Linked DNA regions of Drosophila melanogaster. The protein of the gene in region 2 interacts with the protein of the main gene of each other region in a pairwise test. Each region holds a gene or a part of one and is shown on either strand. Other genes may lie near its edges.

Region 1 (5,375 bases), about 11 Mb from region 2:
CATATCTCAATACCTAGAAGAACTTTTTTAAAGATCATTTGACTAAGAAGCTGCAGCTACAAAATAAATAACGAGAAGCAATAAGTTGAAAAGTTCAAAACTTGTCAGAATTGTCATATCTAGTTACCTAGCAAAAGATTTATCGAGTGACTGTCAATATATATTACATGTAATACAAAAACGGTCCCCTTGCAAATCCAAGCCGAAATCCTGTGCCAATAAGAAGTCGAGTTCCCCGACTAACAGATACCCGTTGCTCAGTTAGTGTGAATGCGCTGTGTCTATGTATCTAGAATCTGTATGCTGCATCACAACCTTCTAGCTTTTAAAGTTCCTGAGATCTCGACATTCAGACGGACAGAGGAACATGGCCAGATCGACTCGGCTATTGATCTTGATCCAGACTATATTCTAGTCTTGATTCTAGTATACCCTTTTACTCACGAGCAACCGATATAACAACCAAGATCTTTGTAATATATTATATATAGTCAGAAATTTGATGTGCTTTTTTTTCTGACAGCAAATATATCATATTGAAAACGAGCCACATTTAATTATACAAAATCATTTTTATTGAGAAAACTTAGGCTACAGTAAACTCCCCCTTAAAAACAAGAAAAGTAAATCAGTAAATTGTGCGTTGGCTCTCAGCCGCAGACACCCGTCTAGATTTTGGGATCCTGGGGCGTAAGCTTGACAATCTTCACGGACTCCTCCCAGATCTTGAGACCCTTCTCCTCATCGAGGGCAGCAGCATTAAGGGTGGCCTCCTTGCAGTCCATGAAGTACTTTCCAGACACATTGGCCACCTCATTGGATGTGGCCAAATAGATAGTGGTCTGGGCGCCGGCCTTGGTGGTCTTGAAGAATCCCTTGGTGATGGCCATCATGGGCAAGTTGAGGGGGAAGGGAACGTTACGCCAAATGCCCGAGTCGATCATGCCGGGATGCAGGAAATTCACTGTAACCTTGGTGCCCTCCAGCCGCTTGGCCAGCTCCCGGGCAAAGTAGATGTTCGCAAACTTGGACACATAGTATAAGTAGGCAGCCGGGAAAGTGCCGATGGGATTGAGCTTGGCCAGGTTAACCGACGACAGGCGGTACAGCTCCGAGGCTACGATGACTATGCGAGCCGGCGCGCTCTTCTTTAGTACATCGATGAGCAGATGCGTCAGCAGGAAGGGTCCATAGTGATTGGTGGCCATGGTCAGCTCCACGCCATCCTCACTCGTCTGTCCGCGGAAGGCCAGAGCCATGCCGGCATTGTGGATAAGCACATCGATCTTGGGCTCGGTCTTCACAATGTCAGCGGCGAACTCACGGACGGACTTCTGGGAGCCCAGATCCAGTTTCTTGACTAGGATCTTGTTGTTCTTCGTCTCCTTGACGATCTCATCTGTGGGAAATCAACAATAAATTACAAAATTCGGTTATGTAAAAAAAAACATGGTTAATGCAACGCCAACATATTATAAGATACTTTCTTTAAAGTAATTACAACGTAAATATTTAATAAAAAAAGATCATTGGTAGTAAGCAGTTTTTGCCAGAGTCTATAATCAACTGGATGAGACCAGTTATCGGAATTTGACCGTGTTGCATGTCCTGCCAGATCCTTGGCATAACCTCATAGGCATTGTCTTGGTCCACTTACCCTTCACTGCATTGGCAGTCTCCAGGTTCCTGCAGGCCATGATGATGCGGGCTCCACGTCCAGCCAGATCCTTGGCCGTCTCCTTGCCAATTCCGCTGTTGGCGCCTGTGATAATGACTGTCTTGCCCTCCATCTTTGTCTGTAATCAATGTCGAAGGTTAATCATTTAATACGGCGCTGCAATCGAAAATTGGACGAGGGCGGTTCGAAAATATGTTTACAATACTAATTAGTTGGCGCTTGTTCACAGTCACAGTAATCGCAGTTCGTCTGGAACGGAAGCTATCTTAGTTTTCAGACCCATTAACGGGTCGCTTAATTGCCATTCGAGTGCTGAGAGCTTTCTGTGAATCAGAGGTAAGCGATCTCACAGATTGTAACCGAGATACCCAGAAGCTTAGATGTTTTGTGGGATACGAACAATGTTCGGTCAGGTGGTAATCGTAGCTCAGAGATGTGACGTACCTCGCCTCTCAGAAGGTATCTAATTTAATCTGTAATTAAGTCGACGCGTCACAACTGACCAATGTAATAACAAGATTGAAACACGTTAAGTTTTCCTAGTGGTGATTTCATATATAGTTAAAAGATTTCCATAGTCGGAATGCTTGGAATGCTACAGAATCGTTTTAATTATATGGGGTTTTTCCAGATAGTGATATATGTAGTTTTCTATAGAGCGGTAAGCTGAACCATTTTCAATTATGGATCTGTAATGTTTATCTGAATAGTTCGCATTTATATGAATATATAAAATTTGTAAAAGTTTTGAGCGATTAATAAGCTTAAGGTCGTGTCCGAATACTGTTTTAGTAAACTATCCCACCATCATTTGTATGTATATGACAGCTCATCTACAAGATCTGAAAAGAATTCGCAGCGGAAGTGGGAGCAACAGCCATATAAAGTGCGAAATATTCGAGTCGTGTCGCGATTCTGGGGAGCATGGGACTTGGTTTTTTGGATTGGGTGAGGTGCGTTCGTTACCTCGGTGAAACATCGTCCCGCCGTGATGCGCAGATAGAACCGAATGCTCATCAGGGTGGCCACTATGGCGGCCACTGAAGTCATGAGGAAGATGTCGCGCACATAGTGCTCGGTCGACAGCCAACCGAAGATGAAACCCATCCTACAAATATGCCGAGGTGTGTATACTATATATTGTATCTTCATATACGTATATATCGGTGTCAACATGCAAATCAGATTATATAATAACCGAAGCTGCCAAAGCCAGACGATTGTCTTAGGGCATAACGAAACGAGTTTGGTTTTGGGTTTTGGGGTTTCATGGTTTTGGGGATATTGGTTAGTCGGCGAAGGTTTTCACAATTCAAATCGTTTATCAGTGACTGTCAATAAATCAATTTCGAAAACTGTTGAGAAAACTTACACTTTCACTTTCACACATGTGCGTAATTATGGCTTATTATGATGAAACGCCGAAAAAAATAACATTCAACCAAGTTCATTGACAGCCCAAACGAAAGAAGGTTGAACAAGAAAGAAAGTCTGAAGTTTCATGTCGTTTTGAGTTTCTGGTTTTTTCTTCTCTGTTTGTTTTTTTTTTCCCCCACCGTCCACGTCACAAAGATTTCCAAGAGCTTTCCTCAAGACTCGAAGACTGGCTCTGGTTACGCTTGCATGCACCATTTAAGAACCCCCCCAACCGAACCACGCCCTACAATGCAGTCTCGAAAAGAAACAAGATCTATAGATGTATGAAAAAGTCTAGAAGTGACCCGTTTTTGGGTTTTGTTCCTCAACTTTTGCCAGTCGGAGACGAGTTTTTTAGTGCAAACTCACCTGTTTTGGCTGTTGGCTGATCTATAATTTATTCCAACTTCTGCTGACCTGCACTTTGGACTATATCTGCGCTGCGAAATGGAATTGGTGGATCCAAGAGCTAGTGCCACAACCTTCGCCTTGAACGACTAATCGGAGACTGAAGTCGGAATTCCGATTATAAAGCCGAGGCTGCGGAGAATGCGCGATCGTCTCCACCGGTTTGGTATTGCCGTGGTCGCGGTGATTTTGTTATTGCACTTATAGCCATGGTAACAGGTTAGCCAAGCGGCTTTCCGGGCTCCTCTTTGGGATCGTCTTCATGAACGGTTCACTCGCAGCGAAAGAGCGAGCACAGAGTGGAGCCAAACTATAATACATAGTTACCAGCGGTAAGAGAAAGATCTGGGTAGTGGATTCCAAGAAAGTGTGTCTAGAAAGCCACCTGTCGGGGGCTTCGCAAAGCTTCTTTTCTAGTTATGCAGCTCGAATGATGAGCTTGAAATAATGTAGAAAATAATAATGGATAGTAATTAACTTTTTTAATGACCAAGACTTTATTACTATTTGAAGTACTACGGGTAATTGTATAAACATGTCAGATAAAAATCTATTTTATTTTTCATTTCATATATCATTAACCGAGATACCACTGAAATATATCAACATTCTTTTCAATTCAATGCATTTTATTATAGAGATGACATATTCACAAGTACAATAAAGAATGCTCAACAATCTACCACAAGCTTAGTCTAAGCCCGTCTAGTTCGTTGCCTTAGTCCTGTATATAGCTTTATTTGAAAAATATAATTCCCTTAGAATTATCGCTCAAATATAATTCCTTTGAATGCAGTAATGTTTGAAAATAAATATATATTTACATTCGGTTATAATGCTGGCAGTTTAAACAAGGTCATATGGTAATATAAGTCATTCTACTTCTCAATGCTGTTTTGTCGGCGGGGTGGTTGGGTTTCCGCATCCGTTTCCAAGTGCTTGGTTAAGGTGTTGTACCATTCGTTCATATGGTTGGATATGATGTTGATGAAGCGAGATACCTTTGATTTCATAGTGCTCACGAGGCTTTCGGAGAGTTTAGTCAGACTACGACCAGAGGCCAGCGAATTCTTGCTGCTGATCCTCATGATCTTGGATTCCTTTTCCTCCCTGGGCTGGCTGGCATCCTTCTCTGCCTCGTGATCCATCTTGTACTCGTAGTAGGTGTACCTTCCCAGCGGCATCATCTCATCGCGATCTGCCTTGTCTATGGCATTGGAGGGCAGTTCAGCCAGGGAATTAGTGTTAAGTACGGCACGCCGCCTTCTCATAGCTGGTAAATCCCACCAGGAAGTGATACCCTCATCGGCTGGCTTTTGAGGCAATTTCGAATGAAGAGTAGGCGTTGCCTTCTTTCCCTCAAAATGATCCTGTATGAGGGACTTCCTACCGACATTCGCCGACTCCAGGGAACTTTCCCGCATGCCCTCATCTCCTAGAGAAAACTCGTGTTCATGCTCGTTGATGTGGCTGAGGAAATGCTTTCCAAGCTCTTTTTGGGCCTGCAAAAAGTCGTTGGCCACGTGACCTAGCCTGGAGTGACGCCTTCTAGCACTTGGCACCGGTTGCACATCCTCCTCGGGCTCGGACTCTTCAACAGACTTGGGTTTTTGGGACAGACTAGCCTTGGCCATGGTGGCCTTGCTGGAGAAGGGTTCCGGAAATAGCAGTGAGTTCAAGGTGGCTCCCAGATTTAATCGCTTGTTCTGCTTGGGAGCTGGTAGGGCCTCAAAGAATTCCGTGGGCAGTAGACGCAACTTGGGACGCCCTTCTGTTTGCTCCGGTTCCTGCTCCTGTTCATCCTCTTTGTCCTCCCTTTGAATGATCTTTAGCTGACTCTTGGACTTGGTCCTGCGCTTTTTGGGTACCTCCC
Region 2 (3,830 bases):
TCAAGTACCAGACCCGCTGCATTCGTCTATTCCCCAACAAAGAAGGCTACGTGATGTCCTCCATCGAGGGACGGGTGGCAGTGGAGTACCTGGATCACGATCCTGAGGTGCAGCGCCGCAAGTTCGCTTTCAAGTGCCACCGGAATAGGGAGCAGAATATCGAACAGATCTACCCCGTTAATGCCTTGAGTTTCCACAATGTCTATCAGACGTTCGCCACTGGCGGATCCGATGGCATTGTGAACATTTGGGATGGCTTCAACAAGAAGCGCCTTTGTCAGTTCCACGAATACGATACCTCCATATCCACGCTCAACTTCAGCTCCGATGGCAGCGCCCTGGCCATCGGCTGCTCCTACTTGGACCAACTGCCAGAGACGCCGGCTACAGTGCCACATCCGGCTATCTATATACGCTATCCCACGGACCAGGAAACTAAACAGAAATAATGTTATATATACTTGTTTACGGCAAAGTTTTACATCATTTTTTAAAGTAAGCTACTTAGTATACTCTTTCAATTTTATGCGCGCATCTCTGATGAAACCCCACATCAGTTTTCCCAGCACAAATAAAAGCTCTATAAAACTCATGACGGAGGCCCCTATATACAGACTTATGATCCCGCCAAAGTTGGCCAGTAAATCTATATTGGTGTACTTGAGTTTCGTAATGATTTTGGTCATGACACGTTGGCCATAATAAACCTGGGCTTTTATCAATTGATCTGTCGAGTTTTTTGGGCTAAAAGAGAGGGGAATTTAATTATCTGTTCTTTAAGAATATATACATTGAACTTACTAATCCAATTTGCGCACATTAAGTGACATTTCGTACAGCCGTGAATTGCAATTGTCTGGGCAATCACAAAAGTGACCCTGTCGTGAGTCGTTAATGTATTTCTCCTGATCACCCATCTTCACGTAAGTGAATATATCGGAATTGTTGCCCAAGCATTGTGCATCGTTGATTCCACATTCCGGAACTCCATCTAAAAAAAAAAAAAATTTAAAATGTAATAGAATAATTACGATAATTACCAATGGGAGGCAGAAAAGCTGGCAGCGAGCACTGGCAGGTCTTCCACACAACTAAGTGGAGGCACACCACCAGGCAGTTTTCGCGGTTATAAGTCAACGAAGTGTTCTGGAAGGTAGGGTTCTTTTCATCCTATGGAGTAAGGAATTATTATTATGATTATCTTTTCCTATTAGTTGCAAGCTATACACACATCAAAGTAGCAACGTCTTTTTTTGGGACTCATTTCATAGGTATTTGGAGAGGTTTCCGTGACCAGCGGATGCACAGCAACAAAGTTCTCCGTATCCGGGTACAGGTGGTACATCATTTCATTGGACCACTGGCGTGGTTCCTTAATCATGAGCTTAGTAACCAAAAAATAAAATTAAACAAAATATGAGCAAACTGTGACGCAACTAAGGGACTTACATTCATTCCAAATGGAGTCAGAGCGTCTATGTTGTTCATAAAGGAGTAGCTTGCATTGATCGTGAACTTCAGGCCCGAATCCTCGCCAGCGGTGCTCAGCTTGTGGGGATAGAACTGGTTAATCAGGTGCTTTTTGCGCGAGTTCTCCGAAATCATGGAGTTGAAGACCAAGCACTGGCCCTTCACCGTCTGCTCCCGTACGAAAAGTTTGCAGCAGTCGTAGGGAGTCTCATCGAAGACGCAGGAATCGGCGACGAAGAGTTCATCGCATCTATAGGTCATGAAGTTCATCAGGTCCGTCATTTTTAGATAACTAATTCCCGTCAGATTTCGTTTGGTCAGAATCCGTATCCGGTTAAAGTTGGAGAAGTTCATAATGTCCATACTGGCGAGTAGCTGGCGAAATGTTTCCCGGAGCTCGGCATTCGGATGACGTGGCAGAAAGCGGATAAATGCCGACGGAGCCCTCTGCCAGTTGAAATGATTCCAGGGGCAAACGGCCACAGCTGGAAAGTCGATGTGGTACACTGGCAACTGGGTGGTCTCTATCAGGCTGACCAGGAGCTGCTCGCTGTGGCGATGCATCAGCACGGTGTACAGACTGAATCCTGTGATCACCGCTCCCAGGACGATGGCGAGCCACAGGCAGCGCTGCCAGAGATGCTGCTCCCCGAAGACGTGCTGCATCCCATGGATGTTGGAGTGGGCAAAGGAGTTGCACAGTTTTTCCCGAAACTTAATACCACGCGGATTGTTCCTGAAGCGCAGTAGTCCTGGTCTCGGCCGCGGAATCACAAGTTCCTTGGTGTACAGCAACATGACGAATGGAAGTAGTTGGCCAAAGTTTTAGTTTAGTTTGGCTGCCTAAAAGCATATCCTCAATGTAATTGCTACTCGGAGTTGTTAATAAGTAAATTGAGGCCCCCATTGAAGAAGAAATATCTACATTCTGTTTTTCCCCACTGAATCGAGAAGGAATGCTCGAACTTGTATGGGAAATCAATTACTTTATTAACTAAACTAATGCTTATCGTTACATCCGTCCAACTAGGACCTAAGCCACTAGGCCTTCGGGGCCAGGCTCTTCTGGATCTGGGCCAGGTTCTCCTTCAGCAGACAGGTGGCTCCGCGGTAGGCCCACTCGCAGGCATTGGATCCCTGCTCGTTCTTGTCCACGCAGGCGGCCAAGGAGGCGTGGAAGGCCTCGTTGTGGTCAGCGTGGTTGCCCACCAGCTGTTGGTGGATGTTCTCCACGTTGAAACCGCTCTGGACGTCGAACAGGCCCCACTTGGTGAAGACGCACTTGATGTAGCACTGGGTCTTGGCGTCGTTGGGGTACTCCCACTTCTGGTACTTCTCCACCAGATCCACGGGCACGGCCAGCTCCTTGACGCACTCATCGCGGTAGGCCAGCATGTCGTGTCGGTTCTTCACCACATAGTCGGCGGAGGCCTATAACCCAAGGGAAGGCGTTGAATTATTCTGGTCCTGGTCGCCGTTTATCTGTATCGAGCACTCACCAGTCCAATCAGCACGCAGATGGCAACGAAAACCTTCATTTTCACTTTCTTTCCACCTATGTATGTATTCCTCCAGCGATCGAGCGAAGACTGTTTTGAAATAGGGCCAGGCAGCCCCTATTTATACGAGAGCGAGGGATCCGATTTGAGTTCGGGAATGGACTTGGTACCTGAGGGGTCTCCAAGGCGCGATTATGCTTGTAGATCCCCAGTTTATTTTTATGCTCAACTCCAAGCTGGGCATCTGATTCTTTTGTGATGGGCTTTTATGCTTGGGGGCACAAGTGGACAACAAAGAATCTGGAATCTGGATGGATGCCTTCTAATAACCTCCATGGGCTCAGTCGCTGATAAGACAGCTCCCCTTTAATCTTTGGCAAATTGGCGCGCTTATTTTTGTTGTTGCTGAAAACAGATTAATACCCACGTTTAGCAAACGCAGCATATTTGGGTGCACTGCAAAAAATACAGTCGCTGTGCAGAAAATTAAAAATACTTGCAATTACATTTATTTTCGGCATTTTATTGAAGGCATATATAAGTATGTGCTCTATAAGGAATTTATTTACTCAATGTTTCAAGTTACAAAAACAGACTTCTAAATTGAAAATGGATTTCTGGGACTTAAAAACAATATTCTTATTCAATTTCTTTTTCTGAAGAAAGCCTACAGTTTTGTTATGTCTGGTTGGAGCTGCACCTGAAAATTTTCCACTGCCATGCAGGTAGCTCTCCGAATGCGTTTTATTTTCTGGATTTGTTTATGTGCGCATCCCAAGAACCAGGTGAGTGGTGCATTTGTGTGTGCTTCGGTTACAGGTAAGTGTGGGAACGTGAGAACCCAGCTGCCGATGGCTGGTA
Region 3 (7,206 bases), on a different chromosome or scaffold from region 2:
GAAGATAGGTGGGCTGCATTACCTTCACCGTTATCCTAATCCATCCAATGATATCTAAGGCATCTCCCATGGATCCGTGATGGCCGGCGTTGTTGGACTCTCGAAACCACACTATGATATCTGGGGTCATACCGTCAATATGGCCTCCCGGATGTCCTCCACTGGATTGCTGGACAACATCCAAGTAACTCGGCACACGGCAAAGGTGCTGCGACAATTTAACATCCGCTGCAACTACCGAGGGCACACGGAGGTAAAGGGAGTGGGCAAGGTGCCCACCTACCTGGTGGTCGTAGACCCGGATCTCACATTCCAAGATCACGACCAAGTGAGCATGAGTATGAAGGACTCAAAAAGCTGGGTCATCGACACTCTTTCACTGTCATTCACCCCGAGCTTCGTGCCCCCAAAGTCTTCCACTTCGGATGAAGAGGAGGCTGAAGGAGAGCTCGAGGAAAATGTATCTGAAGGCGATGAACTGGAGGTCTCGATACATGAGCGCCAAAAGGGAGGCATCTTTCTGGCCGGGAACCTTCATTAATTTAAATTTATTTTAATAGATATATATATATATATATATTTATTTAAGCATATATAACACACATATATAGATGTATTCGTACAGTTCAAAGCAAATGTTTTTCTTGAGGTTAAATACGTTATGATTTGAGCACTCGCTGAAATCATTGCACAACTGGTGACCAAAGTATACGTATGTTCATAATTCAGAGTCATACATAGTCGTTAGGTTATGTACATGCTACAGATAATACACTCATCTTGACGAATCTCCATCTCCATCACTAAGAAAGCACCATCCGTGTGATCAGGTTCGGTTTCGTTTGGTTTTGTGCACAGTTTTTAGCTTAAGTAAGCATTGCAGTTGATTTGGGGCATGGGCATAGCCCTTACTCGTTGACAGAACTGGAGTTCAGCAGAGCCGTGTCCTCGGGAATGGGCTTCCGCTTGTAGGAGGGCTCAGTGGCTAGGTAGACAACCAGCGCCCCGAAGACCACGTACATTACTCCAATCACATTGGCCAACACACCAGCCGGTGGAAGAGTGGAGTAAGCCGGAGTTTTGCTAGAAATGTCGTCATGGATTAGTCAAGTGATCGATCTAGAATGCATATACACCTACATGGCGAAGATGGCCTTCTCGGTTATGCCCATCAGGGCACTAGCAATAGCCAGAACGAATCCAAAGAGTCCGAAGTAGATGTGCAGCGGCATCATGGCGATCCTGTAGTTCTCCCTCAACCCCGGCGCCAAAAAGGCCACAAATCCGGCCACATACTGCAGCGAGAAGACGATCACCGCGGAGAGCCCCAGCCAAGAGTGCAGGGAGTACATGTTGGGAATGGGCGGATTGGCCAAGTTGTGGGAATCGAAGACCGTCTTCAGGGCAATCACCGTCAGAATGAATGCACCCATGTGGATGCCGGCGTGGGTAAGCTTCAGAGTCTTCTTGCGCGTGGTGCGGAAACCACGATAGATCAGAATGGCTGTGGGATTGAATTGAGTTGGATTACCATTTCGAAGCTAGTCAATGGGAGTGGCGTGGCACCTCTTCCGCTGCATTTACTCACAGTTGCCATACAGGTAAATGAAGCCAATGGTCATGAACAGCGGATGCCAGTTGAACTCCACGCCGGGATTTGAGGTGCCGGCCAGACCGCCGAAGTGCTGGCCAATCCAGGTGGCCACCAGGACGATCATGGTCAGGCCGCACAGCTGGGTGAGCACATAGAGCACCTTAAAGTTGATCAGCGCTGGATCCATGTTGGCCTTGCCGCTGCCTGAAAAATCCAATAAAAGCTGGGGATGAGCTAAAAATAGAGGCCATTTTACGCACAGCACGCATTGGCGATCTAATCGCATAACTCATTCAAGGGTAGAGATATCGGGGCATCGAAAGGGGAAGGGGATCTCAAGCACTCGTTTATATTTTCCATACTTTTGGTTTATAGCCTCTGCTACGTAAACATGATTCAATTACATGTTCCACCTGCCCGCAGATTAAAATAACCCCCAAGCACTTGCTGATAACATGCGACCAGAAGTTTAGGGAGCCAATAGGCTTCCCAAAAACCCACTTTAACAGTTGTACATCTGATCCGCTTCGATGGCAGCTGCACTCGTTGGGTAAACAAACAGTTCCTTTGCCGCCAGCCATCCGATACTGCGATAAACAAGATCTCATCATATCGACTGGGCCCTGAGTTAATGGGAACGGCCTGTTCCCAGGCACTGGGACACACCCACGACCCCTTTCGCCGGCCACTCACCAGGCGTAATTTGGCTAATTCATGCGTAAACATTTGCGCTTGTTTACCCAACATTAATTTTCAACGCCAGAGCGTTCTGCCCACTTTATCTGTCGCCTTATCAGTATGTTCTCCAGATAGTCCGAACATCTGATATTAAATCGCTTTAAATAGCATCGTACAAGTTCCTCGTGCTTGATGTTGCAGCATGATACATTAAATAAATTAAAGTTCGATTCATTTTACGGAACGTACGGGTAGTGAAAGTAGCCGTGTTCATAGTTTGGTATAGTATAGATTGGACTTGACTAAGATAGTTTAAAAGGCTAGTAAACTTGTAGGTGCAGATGCACTCGATAAGGGCCGCTATCAGCCGCCCTAATTGGCGTTTGGTATGCAAATGGTGTTTTAATTTCGACTCGGGCGAATAATAAGCAAATGAGCCAAACTGCCAAGTGTTGGCTTGTAAATTGGCTGATAAGTGCGCCGGAGACACTTGTAGCTGGCAATCGCAATTATAAATGCTGGTAACTGGCAGCAGCCACGCGTCCCCGGTTACTCAATGGGCTCCAGTTGGAGTGCTCCATTTCGACGCAGCTCTGGGTTCCGAGTGAAATTAATTGGCACATTAGCTGTGACTATGACTGTTAATTATTAGGGTTAAGTGGGCGTGCCAAAGACGCTGACCAGCAAAGCGTTGCAGCAGATCGTGCGCAAAATTTGAAATAAACAATCCACATAGGCGCACCAAAAGACCGAAAGTAAAACCCGGGCAGATGACTTTGGATGAATTTGGAAAAGCGTACAAGTCCGAAGACAGCGGAGCAAAATAAATAAAGTCTGGAAAACCAAAGTGAAATTCAGCTGGTTACTGGTTACTGGTTACTAGTGGCTGCTTGCTGATCGCGGATCGTGATGCCGATGGTGATGGTGAAAACCGCGGCGGGGAAAGGGGACGGCTGCAGTCTGTCTTTCGGTGCGTTTTGCTTTAACTTTTACTATAACTAAACACTCGGCTTGTTGGTTTATTTTACTTGGCACTAATCAAACTTGCAGCCAAAATCCAATGCCATGCACAGTCTACCTGTTGGTGGTGAAGTTGCCGCCGCCGTTGGAGTGGCCAACTCAATGCCAGCGATGGTTGTTGCAGGTTGCACTTGTTCTGCTGTCGCAGGTGTTGCAGTTGTTGCTGGTGTCGCTGCCGCTGGCTTTTCCCCATTAGTCACCGCGATCACTGTGGTCGCCGTGGAGATGGTGGTCGGAACGGCGGCCTGTGGCTGCTCCGGAATCGCTGGCTCCACCTGGACAACTCCGCTCTCCGGCTTGGTCGCCTGCTCCACGTCCGCGTCCTTCGACATGGTCTGTGCACTTTAAATCAATAATTCACCAATGGTTCAACCACAAAAAGACATGCAACGTATAATGGACGGTGTTAATTGCCCTAAGACACAGCACAAAAACACTGGTAAATGCTAGTAACTAACTACTAGTAACTAATCCGCACGACACCCCGTTAATACAACCGAACACTTCGGCGTGCAATGCGCAACTGAATTTAAAGTTTTCCAGCCGCCGCCCGGCGATGGTTAGGAAAAGCTTTTTCCGCTCGCAAATCTCTCGCATGCGACATCGCACACACATATTGCTCATTTCGGTGTGGATAATTGTTTGGTTCTCGATGCGGATAGGATTCCAGTGGGGTTGGGTTTGCTTTTGACTTTGCCTTTGGCTTTGGGTGCCAACGAATGCTGGTTAGTATGCCGGACCAGGTCGATCGCTTCTGGTTGGGAAGGGGGTGCATTGATGATTATTTGCATTTCGCATTCCTCGGATCTATTCAAACCATTGTCACTGCGCGGCATTTCAATTGCGACTTTGACTTTGATGTTCTGTGCATAGTAATGGGATGGTGCAGTGGAACTGCTTCAATTGGAACTACTTTTTGCCAGAAGGAGTGGAATCCAAAACGTAAAAGGGTTTACAAAAAGTTTTTGGGTAAAATTTGTTAGTAACAACTATTTCAATATTGTTCTTAGTTTCGAAAGTACATCTACAGTAAAGTGAAACCTTTAAGGACAACAAGTAGCTTTCCCTCTTAAAGAGCTTAAGTTCATGCTGTGCAATAATGACTGTATGTGCACTTCAACTCACCCAGTGAGAACAACATGGCGTATACTTGATTGATGCTTCACTCTGCTCAGATAATGCCTGTTTCAATACCGCCTGCTCTTATCTTTAGCAGCAATTAGTGACTTTAAAGCGATGACGATGGGTTTTTCGCGATTACTTCTGATTTTCGTGGCTACTGCCACGCACTTTACTCTACTTGTTGAACAAACTGCTTAAAATGCAGGAAGCTGGGCCTTCCATATGGAGGAAAAGCCGTGGAAATTCTGCACAGGCTGCGTGGGCGTGAAAGCCCTAAAGCCCCGCCCACTCTGCCGCACTTGGCCATTTCATTTGGCATTTCCACGAGCTTTTCGTTGGAAGCTCAGAACTGTAAACGCCGAAGCACACATGCAAACAAACTTTCGGGCTCACACCACTGTAGAAAAACCACTTGTTGGATATTATATTAATGGAAAGCCACAACCAAATTATAACTGTTTGTAAACTACATTTAAAGACGTAGTTGAAATAGAAACAGGTAAACTTACAGATTTGAAATGAATCAGTAATCCAATAATGTGTTTTGTTTGGAATATTTCCAAAATGTCTTCAACGGAAGAGGCAAGAACACAAACAGAAACGGCACAAACACAAAGAGATAATTTGGCAGCATAAGAGAGCGGAATGCTGTGCGAATTTACTACGTCAGCATTATTATTAACAAGTTAAACTTAAAGCGGCACATTCATTGATACTTAATTTAGTACAGCAAGTCAAGGACACGGTCAAACTTTCACTATCAAAGGGTTTTAAACTGTAACTCGATCTGTTAACCGCTTCGATTTTCTGTTTACTCATTTGGAAAAAAGCGGGACAACCAGGGATGCGAGAATCATACTGTAGCTGCGTGTGCTGAAAAAATAGTGTGCATTTAATATACGTTCACATGATGATAGAAAGTACTGACTGTGTGAGTTTTAATTTTAAAAATTTACAAACTTTATATTCATATTTAACTAGAGCTTGGAAAACATTTACTTCGAGACCCTGGATTCCCTTATGCCGCCAGTGTGGCCCATTGAGCACGACTGAAACACGCTAACGCCTTTAGCTCGGCAGCACTGGCAGCTCCAACAAAAAGCTTCAATTTAAAATAATATTTAGGTAGTCCCACAATAAATGCTAACAAAATGCTCTCCAACCTGGTGGTGACCAAGCAGAAAGTGGTCCTCGTAATAGGTGAGTACACACTGACTACCCCATCGTCTGCCAAATAATGCGACCACCAATCTCCCGCCTCATCCACAGATGAGCTAAATCGGGAGCGCATTGCCCCCAAGTTCATCGGCAGTCTGCTGCACGAGCAGGGACAGGGGGCGGATACCATCAAGGCCCTGCCCACCGGCGTCAGCCTTAAGCACGTGGCCACCTTCGAGGCACTGATCGACAAGTACGCCAACAACAACACTGGGAGTACTACGGATTCCAACTCCACTGGCTTTAACGTCATCCTGCCAACATTGGCAGACCTGCTGTGCTACCAGACGCCTGCTTTCATATTTGGCTTCCTCAACCGCCTACGCCGCTCGGACAATGTGCGTCGGGTTTTCCTTTGGGCCTCCCCGCAGCACCTGCAGGATCCGCATGCCGACTACATCCTGGCTGGCTGCGAGTACCTGGCCGAGCTGGTCCTCCGACTGGAATCGGACAAACTACTCTCGCTGATATCACGCAAGCCGGGCGGAGGGGTGTCCAACAGGCGCTACTCCTGCGAAGTCAGCAAAACCCAGTTCAAGGTGACGCCGCTGGACGGAGGACTGCCTGCAGGTGCCTCCCCCAAGCAGCCCTCGCCCGAGGCGGAGCAGACCACAGAGCCGGCCAGCAGCACCTTCAAAATCGAGCTTGACGAGGATGAAGTGTTGGCCCGCAATGCACTCACCCTGCCATACGAACGGTGAGTGGTAACCATTCTCTATGCGTTACATCTCCTTATTGATATGTTCGTATATATGATAGCACATCCGAGCCGTCTGAGGGAAACATAATATACACGCCCGATGCCGACGACGATTTCGACGAGGAGGATCCGGACGAGGATCTGTGCATCTAGGCTGCCCGCCAGCAGCGAACGGCAGTACAAATAGCCTTGGCTTTAAGTCTCCTTAAGTCTAACCTACTAAAACCATAAAATACCTGGAATTCCGGCCCCAAAGTTCCGCCTAGGGGTGTGTTCAACCTCGCCAGAGGAGCAGAATGAATCTTTGAACGACCACTTAGTACACGTAGAATTGCTCATTTATTTTGGATAACTTGATATGTGAATCAAAAAATCGAAGAAACTTGTGAATACATACAACTGATTCAATTGCTATCTGGTGGTGCCCTAGCTTATGACTTAGTTAAGGAATTTCATCTAGCTAACCTTATGTACAGTTAACTCTCGATTACCTCCACGATATTTGGCTGCAATGCGATCTTTTGGTGTCCAGTGCGTGGCGTATTTACAAGGCGTTCAACCTAACTAACTTAACTAGTTCCAAAGTGCTACTATGCTCTATTGATATGAAAATCAAATACAATTGGAGCGGCGGAGTTCCGCTTCCGGTCAAAATGGCGCTTAAAAGTTCACATTATCACAACAATCTATACGAAAACATCGAGAAGAAAAAGGAGCTATCAAAAAATCGTTAATTGCGGTTCGACATCTAAATCTTGGCGAGTATTTACACTAGAGAATTAATAACAAATTAATGCATGGCAATGGCTCATTTGAGCAGGGCATCCACATCGCTCTTGGGGTCGGGTGCCAGTGAGCTCCAGGGCGCATCGCT

The links.
Region 1: the proteins of ppk19 (region 2) and CG7675 interact in a two-hybrid assay, tested with the Drosophila melanogaster proteins (one large-scale study listed by BioGRID).
Region 3: the proteins of ppk19 (region 2) and CG1275 interact in a two-hybrid assay, tested with the Drosophila melanogaster proteins (one large-scale study listed by BioGRID).

What each region holds. Positions count from the first base shown.
Region 1 is NT_033777.3:18,377,569-18,382,943, forward strand, and holds CG7675 (uncharacterized protein), read right to left. Parts: upstream 3,611-5,375; 5' UTR 3,464-3,610; intron 3,169-3,463; exon of another isoform or gene 3,051-3,168; intron 2,787-3,050; 5' UTR 2,786-2,786; coding exon 2,645-2,785; intron 1,797-2,644; coding exon 1,658-1,796; intron 1,400-1,657; coding exon 669-1,399; 3' UTR 556-668; downstream 1-555. Other genes in the region: CG14309 (uncharacterized protein), read right to left, coding at 4,381-5,375.
Region 2 is NT_033777.3:29,670,894-29,674,723, reverse strand, and holds ppk19 (pickpocket 19), read right to left. Parts: upstream 2,269-3,830; coding exon 1,450-2,268; intron 1,385-1,449; coding exon 1,232-1,384; intron 1,171-1,231; coding exon 1,041-1,170; intron 992-1,040; coding exon 802-991; intron 745-801; coding exon 501-744; downstream 1-500. Other genes in the region: Bub3, read left to right, coding at 1-449; Obp99a (Odorant-binding protein 99a), read right to left, coding at 2,512-2,901, 2,970-3,008. UniProt on the Drosophila melanogaster protein: Part of a complex that plays a role in tracheal liquid clearance. In both larvae and adults, contributes to the behavioral response to salt. Probable role in sodium transport.
Region 3 is NT_037436.4:2,252,189-2,259,394, forward strand, and holds CG1275 (uncharacterized protein), read right to left. Parts: upstream 5,236-7,206; 5' UTR 4,924-5,235; intron 4,625-4,923; exon of another isoform or gene 4,434-4,624; coding exon of another isoform or gene 4,418-4,433; intron 3,823-4,417; exon of another isoform or gene 3,635-3,822; 5' UTR 3,625-3,634; coding exon 3,351-3,624; intron 1,799-3,350; coding exon 1,589-1,798; intron 1,505-1,588; coding exon 1,141-1,504; intron 1,084-1,140; coding exon 909-1,083; 3' UTR 556-908; downstream 1-555. Other genes in the region: CG32305 (uncharacterized protein), read left to right, coding at 1-8, 60-541; Elp5 (elongator complex protein 5), read left to right, coding at 5,566-5,614, 5,684-6,329, 6,392-6,485; oxt (peptide O-xylosyltransferase), read right to left, coding at 7,141-7,206.